Linked DNA regions of Drosophila melanogaster. The main gene of each other region encodes a partner of the protein of the gene in region 3 in a complex. Each region holds a gene or a part of one and is shown on either strand. Other genes may lie near its edges.

Evidence for each region. The genes of interacting proteins can lie anywhere in the genome.
Region 1: MED4 (region 3) and MED26 share a complex: the UniProt entries of both Drosophila melanogaster proteins name them as parts of the mediator complex.
Region 2: MED4 (region 3) and MED9 share a complex: the UniProt entries of both Drosophila melanogaster proteins name them as parts of the mediator complex.

What each region holds. Positions count from the first base shown.
Region 1 is NC_004353.4:785,834-790,843, reverse strand, and holds the start of MED26 (mediator complex subunit 26), read left to right. Parts: upstream 1-1,865; 5' UTR 1,866-1,949; intron 1,950-3,229; exon of another isoform or gene 3,230-3,392; intron 3,393-3,634; 5' UTR 3,635-3,697; coding exon 3,698-3,763; intron 3,764-3,817; coding exon 3,818-4,652; intron 4,653-5,010. UniProt on the Drosophila melanogaster protein: Component of the Mediator complex, a coactivator involved in the regulated transcription of nearly all RNA polymerase II-dependent genes.
Region 2 is NT_033778.4:18,165,582-18,169,025, forward strand, and holds MED9 (mediator complex subunit 9), read left to right. Parts: upstream 1-1,673; 5' UTR 1,674-1,735; coding exon 1,736-1,941; intron 1,942-2,076; coding exon 2,077-2,140; intron 2,141-2,191; coding exon 2,192-2,356; 3' UTR 2,357-2,384; coding exon of another isoform or gene 2,385-2,557; intron 2,558-2,626; coding exon of another isoform or gene 2,627-2,711; 3' UTR 2,712-2,799; downstream 2,800-3,444. Other genes in the region: Nup75 (nucleoporin 75kD), read right to left, coding at 1-182, 244-1,406, 1,464-1,490; CG42518 (uncharacterized protein), read left to right, coding at 2,385-2,557, 2,627-2,711; Dgp-1, read right to left, coding at 3,444-3,444. UniProt on the Drosophila melanogaster protein: Component of the Mediator complex, a coactivator involved in the regulated transcription of nearly all RNA polymerase II-dependent genes.
Region 3 is NT_037436.4:7,248,895-7,252,344, forward strand, and holds MED4 (mediator complex subunit 4), read right to left. Parts: upstream 1,634-3,450; 5' UTR 1,551-1,633; coding exon 1,314-1,550; intron 1,256-1,313; coding exon 716-1,255; 3' UTR 635-715; downstream 1-634. Other genes in the region: CG14830 (uncharacterized protein), read right to left, coding at 2,205-2,724, 2,786-3,214, 3,282-3,304. UniProt on the Drosophila melanogaster protein: Component of the Mediator complex, a coactivator involved in the regulated transcription of nearly all RNA polymerase II-dependent genes.

The sequences.
Region 1 (5,010 bases), on a different chromosome or scaffold from region 3:
GATTTGAGCTAATGCGCGTATGTTTGGCAACTCAAACACTTAGCCACACTGTTGCAGCGGCAATTAAGACTTGTAACCAAAACAAGCAATTACATCGAAATAGTTCCGAAGTTGCAGCTTCTACGGCTGCATTTGTCCAAAAAGATAATGATTACTTTGATTGCCTGAATAGCAGAGTATTAACTGACAAAAACCCCATGAAATGCGCGCTCCAAGTTAACAATGGAGTTTGGAACAAACTAAAGGAAATGCAGGAATACCTAAAGAGCGTTAAATATCACGGGAATAAAATATATTGTGTTGATGGCTTGATCCAAACTACTGAAGCTATATTTGGACTCGTCGAAGATCTCTTTAAGGATCACACAGACCACTTTTTCTTTTTAACTAGTAGAGTTAACCAGGATCCCCTTGAAAATATATTTGCGTGCGTTCGAGCAAAAGGTGGTAACTGCAGAAATCCTTCAGTTAACGAATTTAATATAATAATTGCCAAGCTCATATCTCTACACATTTTTAAATTTTCACAAAAGTCGAATTGCGAATCAGATGATGATGTTATGTTGCCAATAGAGTTCGATTCGATAATATATCAGCCTTTCGTTGAAAAAAAAGAAATACAGCAACAAGAATACTCTGTATCATTTTCCAAAATCGTGCAAGACAATGAGAGGTACTTTGACCAAAATATAGATAACTTTTTGTGCAATGATGTACCCATTGAATTAACTTCCAGTAGATATTTTGTTGGATATATTGCTAAGGGATCCAGTTGCGATAAATGCAGATCGGTAATTTTAAAAGAAACCGAGCATTTAACAGCTCCATCAGAGCTTTTTATACATGAGAAAAACTACTCAATAGAATCGGACTTCGGGAAATTAAGGGCACCATCTGATTTATTTTTTAATATTTACAAAATACACATTAAAGCTTTCGAAAATATTTTTAAAAATAATAAAAAACAAATGTGTATAAAAAAATTTATTGTTGAGCAATGCATTAAGTGCACAAATGAAAGTAGTGCCTTCCCATTATGGTTTTATGAAAATAATGAATGTTATGCACATAGAACAGATCTTTTAAACAAACTTATAAAAGTTTTGCTTTTTAAGCATTGTAAGTGGACTGTGATAGCTGATAGACAAAAAAAGCAAGCTAAGCTCAGCATTCTATCTCATGAATAAAAAAAATGAGCGTTATTTAAATAACTGACGACTGAAAAATCGAGCAATATATAATAAAAAACAATAGTTAGAAAAATAACTTAATTGGGGAATATGGAAATGTTTTAATGTTAAACATTAAAATATTTCAAGTCGACTCGAAGGTCATATACGTAAATATAAGACCCCATTACAATTGTAATGGCCTCCCCGTAGTGTTCCCTGGGTACCGACTATTACACATATTACACATAAATAATTATCAACATAAATATAAATATGTAAACGGTAGCTAATTCGAGCGGCGATTTTAACAAACGAATTTAAAAAGCTTTAAAATTAAAAAATTTTAAAATTAAAATTAAAATTTTAAAATTATAATAAGAAGGGCGCGAATTTTTAAAAATTATTTTATTTCATCATATTGCTACGAAATTGGCAAAAAACTACCCTAATATGTACAATGTAAATTCATTTCTTTGATCAGAATTGATTTCGGCCCGAAAATCGTCTTCTAGCACAACACCCACACATATACGCGTTCCCGTCTCTTGTTTTTACTCACACAAGCAAGCAAATTCTATTTTTAGATTTCTTATGTTCTCAGCGTGAGCGAGCGGAAAGAGAGCAATTTTGGCCGTCACCAAAAAAGTGGCTGCATAGTGCCAAACCAATGTATGGCCGTTACGCATCTTGTTATTCTAGTGTCTTTGGTATGGCCGTTACGCATCTTGTTATTTATATGGCTTTGAATAGACCATGTGCAGTGTGATTAATGTGGGGGTATGTATTAAAAACGACATATAATATAAGTATATTTATGTATGTGCAAAAGGAATATATCAGGATATTTCGGTAAGAGCGACAAACCAGCCAAGTGTGAATTTATGAAGTTGATGCATCTATATTTTTGCAAATCTCAAGTTTATATGCAGAAGAGTCACTGTCGTTATATTTGAATTTTGCTCACTAGCGGAGATGATTAAATTTTTTATTATTGTACTGAAATACAAAAATGTTTTTTAAACTTAATTAGCATTTTAAGTAATAATAGTTTTTCTCCGGTATTCTAACGTTACCAGTGTGAACGGATCGGACAAGCATTCTTCCTAATTTAGTACTACTAACCGTTTATATTCCAATTACACTATATATATGGACACAGTCAGTTTTGGTTTTTGTCAAACACGGAAACACAGTATAAGCATGGGGTAGCTCAGTTCTTAGACGGGAAGGTCAATAAAATCTCTTCTGCTCGAGGTTCAGAATAAGAATAATATTATAGAACATATTAAAAAAAAAGCCGCTGTGGTAAAATGTGAATATAAAAAATTAAACATATTCTTTTTCTGTTGCTTATTAAATGTAAAATATATTCTTATATACAAAAGGCTTCCAAAGGTTTTGCAATAAGAAAAAAATATATACTCGATTTTGGTGCTGAAGGATAGTACTATAGTTTACTTTTTTTCAATTGTGAGATGATCCCTTAACCCAAGTTATGGGGTTTGGTAATTGTAAGCCATTTGTTTGTTTTTTGTTTTTGAAGAACACCGAGAGCATTTGTTTTGTACAAATCCTATATATACACACTTTTTTCAAATATTTCGCATTGAAATGAAAGAGTTTAAGAATCTTTATATATCCTTAACAAAAAAAAAACGGCATTGCTAGTCCGAATAAAATAAGTTAAGGGTAAAAAAACAAACAATATTTTAATATTCTCCATATTAAGTAAAGCGGGTAACTGGACGGAGAATCTACGAAATCGTTTTATATTTTACAAAATATATAGGACAACGGGAAAATATCCAAACCACAAAGCAACAAAACCTTCATTTTCTGGTCTGGTATATTTGACCCTTTTTTCATTTTGAGATTCACGCATTTAGCCCAAAAATGGACGTTTACTTTATATAATACTCCTATAGGTTTTCATGTCACATATAATACAATTCCTCTTCAATTCTGTTTGATAGCAGTATGATCAGGCCTTCCTGTTAAAAGAAATTCACGTGAAAGTATATCGATAATAATTGTTAAATACTTATCGATTTTCTGCCACCCTTGAAGTGCAGCTGTCATTGGTAAAAATGGCGAATTGTAATAAAGTCGGGAAGTCAACCATAAATTATTAATTTTCCTTATTTTGGACAAATACAAATTTTCATATTCAAGGAAGTGCGCTCAGGAAGCACAGACTTTACATTCGAAGTGTGCATATTTGTAAGCATAACGATTGAGCAATACACGTTTTGTATTGGTATGAGTGTTTCACAGACACGCTACTAACTCGGGTATTAAAATTTTTGAACTTCTGGGTCTTTAAACTTTACTTAATAGCAATTTTACGGCTATTTATAATAGTATTTATTTTGCAACAACGTGAAGTGAATACACTATAACTTTTTACTTTCTACCTACTACTTACTTTTCTATTACTTTCCTTATTTTTCTAACTTGGACAGTATTTGCATTTCGCCGTCCCTTGAATCTGGATCAGGGCAATATTTACGCACCGCAAGATATAAATGAACCAAATCGAAATACAGGAACTTACTACTCACCTATCCCAGGCACTTGATCAAAACTACGATGTAAGAAAACGTATTACCTTATCAACAAATCAGTTAATGTAAAGATCTTTTCAGGTCGTCAATATGGACGCAGTTCTCTGTGTCATATGTGCATTGGAGGGTACAACTATCACCAAGGAGCAGTTGGAGGCCACCAGATTGGCTAAGTACATAAATCAGCTCAGAAGAAGGACTAAGAATGAACATTTGGCTCGACGTGCAAAATCCTTGCTGAAAAAGTGGCGGGAAATGGTAGGAATTCAGCAAACAGCCACTGAAAATTTGGCACATCCCAGTCAAATTTCATCTTCACAACCAGCATTAGATTTGGTTAAGTCCCCTATCACCAGCTTTATTACAGAACCAATTGCTCCTTCGCAGCAAATAGTTTCAGATTTGCATTCAAATATCGACTCTGCGGAGCCTCCGCTTTCGGGTGAACATACCCTACTTCATCCGAACTTCTCCAACCTTGTAAATAGTATAAAAGATAGCGATCGCCACGAAAACATCGCTATAACGACATTGCATACTCACAAGGATCGGCGACATTCGCATTCCATCCGAAGTTGCCACGTGGCCTCTCCTCAGCCCATCGTCATAGATCATTCGGTAAATTCCGTGATTAACTTGACCGATGACAGCACCGTGAAGATAAACGAAGCTTCAGTTGTTATTGACATAGCTTCGGATTCCGATGAGAATGACAATAACGGTTCGTTAAATCCAAAAAAATTAAACTCAATTGTTCCTGCGCCACTTCCAATACCATCTACACCAAGCTCACGGCAACGCAAATTAAAAAAGGAAAAAAGAAGTAAGGAAAGAGAAGGACAGGTCGCAACAAATACAAGATTTGGTGCAAAAGCCAGCGACGGGTTTCAACAGGCCGCTCTGACAACAGATTCGGGTATGATTCAATTGTATTTGTCTTTGTGTCTATCCTTGCAGAAGCTCAAAGAAGCTGGGTTCGGAAAAATGGAATTTTCGAAATTTGAAAGCTGGAATCGTGTGCCCACCAATTAGTTTTTTTTTGTCCACGTCCAGTCTTTGAGATCTGAATTTTCAAAAAAGTTCGATAATCAAAAAGTGTACTTTTTCAAAAATTTTATATTTTAAATTGCAATAACATCGTTTGCCAACACTTTTGAATTTTGAAAAAACGTATACTTTAGAAAATATAAGACATTCAAGTTAATCTCGGTCTATTCAGAGAATAGAGCGTTTGACCATCTCTTAAAACTAAATATTATCAATAAAAAACGTTT
Region 2 (3,444 bases), on a different chromosome or scaffold from region 3:
TAAGCTTGGTGGCTTGCCGCTCGCTGCGCAAAGTGATTCGGGGCAAAAGCAGCTCGATAGCCGCCTGACCCTCCTGCTTGCAACAGTCCAGATAGTCGATGCCCAGTTGCCACATATTGTGGGACGTCATCAGATAGCTGCCGTACTCATAGATCATTGAGTGACGCAGGGCCGGAAGATCGCTGTGGGTGCATAAAATATATAGCATATTGATTGAACATAACTTCTGACAAAAAAACTCACATGTTGTTCTGATCGAAATAGCTCTTCAGCTGACCACAATGATGGATAAGATCAATCAAATGCGTTGAGAACCAGTGTGTGTCGTTAAGTTTTTGAGCATCGTATATAAATAGTCTAAGATCGTGATCCATAAGCTGAGAAACCATGCGGTTCATGCTGCACTGCTCTCTTTCCGGCCGGAGAAGACACCATCGGTTTAGCCATTTGGCTGCCGCTATTTTCAGCTCAAAGGGTTTGCAGGTGGGCTTGGTAAAGAGCAGGTATCCTGGCAGGTATTCATAGAAATCCTGGGACTCTTTGATGCCAGCATCCCACTGCTCGCTGTCGCCGGCGACCAGACGAATCAACTGCTCCAGCTCCGGCTCCGTGGCAAATAAGCCGGACTGAATCTTGCGTTCCGTATCCACGTGCCAGAACTCCCACTGCGAGTGAAACTTCTGCAGGGCATAGCCCTCTTGATACACTGGCATGGACTTCAGGATCTGTTCGGCCGCCTTGAAGCTCGTTTGTCCAGCTTTGCGATTCTGCGAGAGAACTGCTCTCGTAACATCTATTTCGCCCAGCATAATGAGTGATTTGACAATGCTCCAATAGTCATCAGATTCGCTGGCCTCCTCTCCCATGAGCAGTAGATCCGTGGCTCTGTCCTCTGCGTGCGGCGAGTGGAAACGCGCCCAGTCGAGCAGCTGCGGCACCACCAGCTGATTGCTCTGAATGTACAGAATCTCGAAGAGATGCCACAGGCATTCTGCCGCATAGAACACAACGATGGCATCACATAAGCGTTGCAGGCGCGCCTCATCTGTCTGAACCTCCGGCGATTTTTTTGCCTGCTCCAGCTTCTCCAGGCATGAGCGCACAATGCTCCTGTATGCCCGGGATATATTCACATACTCGGCACGTGTGGCCCGCGAACCCAACTGTTGCAGCGTGGCGAACGTGGCATTCGCCTCGGCGAGTACGCTGCGGAGAACGGGTTCGTCGAACAGCGTCGACTCCTGCGCCATGTAGATGAGCACCGGAACCTGTCCAGCATTCTCTGTGGGCTCATCCCGCGAACTGTGCGTCACATGCCGGTAGGCGCTGAGTGCGATTCGTGAGCCCGGCACAAAGACGCCAGTGAGTGTATTGCCACAGCGTGTGGCTAGGTCATCGCCAAGCTCCTAGATAGATTAAACGAGGTTTAATCTATTGAGTTTTTTATTTGTGCAGCTACTTACGAAGGCGAAAACACCGCTGTCGCTCATGTTGGCTTTATGTTTTTCTTCTTTATAAATTCTAAACGATTCGTTGCTTGTTATCGATAAGCAGAGGCGGCATTTGCCTGGCTCTATCGGTCTATCGTACTTCGATAGCAGGTTGTGCATCTACTACTTTTCCCTTTAGTATATTAATCGAATTAAGAGAATGTGAGGGCATTACTTTGGTATTATTACGTGTTGTCGGTAAGGTCCTATTGATTCTGACGCTGGAAATTCGATTCGTGTTTTTTATGATGGATTTGTCGCCAAACAATCAGATCGAGGACAGAAAACCCATCCTAACCGCCGACGGCCTGGTTCAGACTTCGAACTCCCCCTTCGAGCCGACCATATCGCAGGAGACGCAAACATCCAACGGAATCGGCGGCCAGTGCCATCTGACGGTTGACCAGTTGGACATTGAGATTCTGCCGATAATCTACGACATTGTGCGCTGGTGAGTGGTCATCGCGGATGCGGATTCCGGGTGTCATTGCCCCTGCACGGACAATGCCGAAAATCGGCGGATTTTAGCAACAAGTGCGCAATTAATGCCGCACCTTATATAACCTGGCGTCTTTGTGTCTTTCAGCGTGGAAAAGGATCCTCTGGAGAACGCCGTTAAGCTGCGCGAGTCCCAGGATTGCAACCACAAGGTGAGTCCTTGGTTCGTCATAAGTTGCCACCGCTATATACTTGATTTGTAGATCTTTGAACTTCAAAAACGCTTCGAATCGGCACGCGAGCAAATCCGCCAGCTCCCCGGGATCGATTTCAATAAGGAGGAGCAGCAACAGAGACTGGAACTACTGCGAAATCAGCTGAAGCTTAAGCAGCAGCTAATTCGCAAATACAAGGACACAGAGTTCTAGGCGGCAGCAAAATAAAAAAAAGGGCAAGATGGTGCTGCGACTGCTAATGCGCTACCTGGCCAACAACGAGCAGCTCATCCAGCGCATGGCGGAGAGCTATCCCATGAGACGCGCTGCCCAGTTGGTCGTTTCCCTGATGTACCGCACAAAAGACTTGGCCCGGGAGCAGGGACTGCACGAGATGACGCCAGAGCGTTTCAAGTGAGTGAAAGAATCGCCAGAATCATCTGGCTGAATCCGCCAATCTGACATGCATTTTCCAAATTGTAGATCCTTCGTTAACATGTTTAAGAACAACGTGCGCCAAGAGCTGGAGGGAGTGAAGAAGGAGCTTAATAGCAAGAAAAAGAACTAGGGTTCAGTAATTAACTTGTTTAACTACAATTGTATATACGCGGCAAGATAAATTTTAGTAAACACAGATGAATAAACATTGAAGCCAGAACATTATCTTCGGTGAATGAACCTTATTTTTGTAGAATAGGAAATTGCTTTTATTAAGGTAATTAGGAAACAAAGAAATCCTTATTCATTGCCATTTTATCTTAACACTTAAAAACAAAAGAGAACTTCAGATTGTCATTCTGAAACTATCGTTTTACAAAAAAATCAAATAATAACCTAATGTCTGCATTTACAACGCTTTCAACGTAATTTGCGTCAGCAAATTTGTTTTCATTTTCAGTTTGCATAGACATTAAACTCATCTTAAACTATAAGATTTTAATTTAAGATTCCAATTTATAAAGTCGTGTCTATTTAAGTTTATCGAGAGATAATTTAATATCATGTACACAAGTAGCATCTGGTTCAACCTGCGTTTATTCAGTGAAAAGACAAATGAAATCCATGCTGCAGTGACGTCGGTTGTCTTAAGTCTAGTGAACAAACAAAATATAGAATTTGGTTTGGCATATAGCACAATGTACAGTGGACAAGAACGGGACACGAAATAGTTTATTGGGGCACATGCCACTTTAGATTAGAAGGTCGCAAAATAAATTCATCCAATTATCTTTAAGAATTTGAAAAAAAAATACTTTAGTTTACAAAACTAGAAAGAGCCAAAACATGCAGGCGGCGCACTT
Region 3 (3,450 bases):
AGTTTGGCCTGTGTGCTGGCTGGCTGTGTGGTATGTGAGTGTCGTATGTAACCCGATTGCGGATGCGGCGATGCAAGTGGCGATGGCGGTGTCTCTCGCTCCCTGGCCTCCACTCCACTCCACCTTCCACTTCCACTTTTTCTTTATATTTGATATTGCAATTGGTTTGAGTCGAGCCTTCGCTTCGCTTCGCCCTCTGTACACACACACTGCGAACGGGGGGTCGGTTTTCTACTATCGTTTTCGGGGCTTATCTCTCGTTAAAGACGCACACGGGGCTGATCTGCGATTGGCGGCGACACTGGACTACACCTTGGCCACATTTTAGCTACTTGAAACACGCTGCATACGCGTTGCATTCCATTTTATTTGAAAAACCAAAGCTAAAATAATTGCGAGCTGTCAAAGTATCGATTGCACGCGACCCTGCCAATCGATTGTTTATATGGTTGAGGAGGACCGTATCGCACTAGCGCAAAAGTACCAAGCTCTTGACACGAAGCTATTATAAGCTGTTTCCACTGATACATAACTTTGCATTTTTTTAAATGCCAATTTAAATTGTAAATTAATATCATTAAAGAAGGTCATAAAATTAGATATGTATCCCAGCTACTCAAATATATACATAACTAGACTTCCTTACAGCGCGCTTTTATTAAATACCTAATACTACTAGCTTAAACGAGATTTAGTTATAGTTTTTTATCCAATTCTACTGCGAATCGCTGGAACTGGAGCTTGAGCTATCCGTGGACATGACCTCCACATCGTCCTGGGCGCGCGTCTCCAGGGCCACTGTGTTCCCAGAGGCGCCCATGGTCATGTGCAGCTCTCCGAGATTCCAGTTAAACTGGTTCTGGAAGGCATTGGGCACCTCGCCGCCGGCGCCACTGCCACTCCCACTTCCTGCGCTACCGGACAGCGTTCGCTGCTGCTCCGAGGGCATGCCGCTGTTCTGGTGGGTCACTGTTCCGCCGTTGATGTTCTGCTCGGATTTACCCAGCAGCCCGTTGCGCATCTCAATGTCCGTGGGATAGGGACGCCGCAGGTCACCTATGCACCAGGTGAGCGGAGCACTGACCGCATTGGCGGAGCTAATCCGATGTGCGTATTTGATGAGCTCCTCGGATGAAACCGGTCGTTTGTTGGCCTGATTGATGCTGGCCAGTTTCTGTCGCGCTTGGAAGATGGCCGTGGACAGTATGAGCTCCGCATCCTTTAGCGACTTTTGCAGCTTCTGGATCTCACGGTCCTAAGCGGGAAAATCCAGATTATACCTTATTTTTGGGGAATGCAAAACTTCTACTTACGTGCACCTCGACCTTAGCGCGCAGTTGGTCCATCGCCTCCTCCACTTTCGCCTGCTCCTCCGCCAGTTCCAGCATTTTGCGAAATTCCTCATCTTTGGCCACCAGCAAATCCAACAGGTCCACCAATTCGGTGCTGGAGATCTTCTGGTGCGCCTGCTCGATCAACTCCTTGGCAATCATCTCAATGTCGTCGATCAGGAGCAGAAGGCGCTCTTTTGTGCTCAAATGAAACGACATTATCACGGCAAATCGTTTGTGCTAAGCAATAATTGCAATTTGTTTATTTTCCACACCGCAATGTGGCCGTTCTTCGATTGCTGAAATATACCGTATAGTATTCCGGAGCGCTGTTAATACCACGTTGTAAAAATACCGTAACAGAGAGGTTGCCAGACTAATAGGAGTTGCCACATGGGTTATTTCATACACTCAAAAAAAAGGGAATCAAGTACTCAAAAGCAAAGAGTAGAAGAGACTGTTCAAAAATAAAACAAATTCGCAGCGTTATCTCTAGTAGGTATTATTTGCTTGTTTATTTCTCGTGTGTTACAATTGCAGTTACAATTTTAGCATAAAACTCTTCTGTTGATTAGCCAAATCAAACCTAACAAACCTTCTCAAATATGGCAGATTACAATACTCTGTTGCATCCTCGCGTTCGCGTCTCCCGTCAGTTTCACTCTTAAAACATACAAACCAGCAAGCAACTTGCAGCAGGTACGTTGGAGGGGCCTTGTTAATAACCGTTTAGAACTAGTAGATAGTCTTACAATTAGTTAAGATATAAGTGGTTTATATGTGGCTATTCATATTTCTTCTCCGCCCAAAGGATCCCCTTTCATCAAACCGCATATGTATGTACATACATACATATGTACATATGCATAACAATCAGTATCGCTGGCTCTCGCGATCCGAGTATTTGCCACTCAGCTTGCTAACCGAATAGCGATCCGAGTAGGCATCGTACTTGTCCGCCTTGTAGTTGATCTCCTGCGGCGTGTATCCGATATTCTTCTGCCAGTGCCGCGTCCAGTAGAGATCCTCGTTGCGCACCTGCGATGGCGTCTTCGCATCCCGGAACACGTACACACAGTAGATCATGCAGCCGATTAGCGTGAGGAAGCCGAAGACCAGGAACACAATTCCCAGTATCCACACGTACAGTGGCTCATAGAACTGCACCACAATGACGAATCCTAGCGTCACCAGGATCAGGCCCAAGTTGAGCAACAGCATCAGACAGCACACGCCCTTGACATTGGGGCAAAATGGATTCGGCGCGGACATGGTTTCCACTTTGGCGCCTCGCCGAGTCGTCGAGCGCGCACTGCGTCCGGTTTTGGCCGTACTGGCCACGGAGTAAACACTCCGTGGAGCTCCTCGCGACACTGGACGCTGACTGTAGCGACTGTAATGGATGATAGATAGTTTAGATATGGGTTATATGCTATATAGTTGTAACAACGCACCTGATCTCGGAGGGCGCCTTGTAGGCGGCACTGGTCACATAGATGTCGCTGCCGGCGTCACCAGCCTGGTCATAGCTCAGGGCGGACGGAGCACGCGGTGGCTGGCGCGTGGGCGGCGGTCCGCTGAGGGAGCGAGGTCCTCCGTTGTCCGGCGAACTGGAGAGGCCCATCTGACTGTGGCTGTAGCTGCTCTGCAGGTGCTGATGCTGATGGTTTCCATTCGAGGATGAGGAGCGCTTCTTGCGCGAACCATTGTACTGCGGCGAGATGCGCTCGTGGGTCAACGTGTACTCCGAATAGGTGCGCTCCGAGGGCGCCCGGTGGGAGTGGGTCTCATCGCCGTCGGTGGAATAGCCGCGGTTCGAGTGGACGTAGGGCGGATCCGGAGTGAGGCGACCGTGCGTGGCCACATAATGGCTGCCCTTCAACCTGTAATTGGATCGCAAATGTTATCGCCGCTGTATTAGCCGTTAAGTGGCCCATCCGCGCTACTCACTTCTTCACTTGTCTCTCGTGCATCCTGTATCTTTTGCTCCGCCTGTATCTGTATCTTTTGCTGGCTCTTCTCTGCGGCTGATTGACTGCTAATGGACCCGTCTAGCAATTCCTCGAGGTGCCTGCAATGGGTAAGTAAAGCAAAACAAACACACGATGAGCTCGACTTC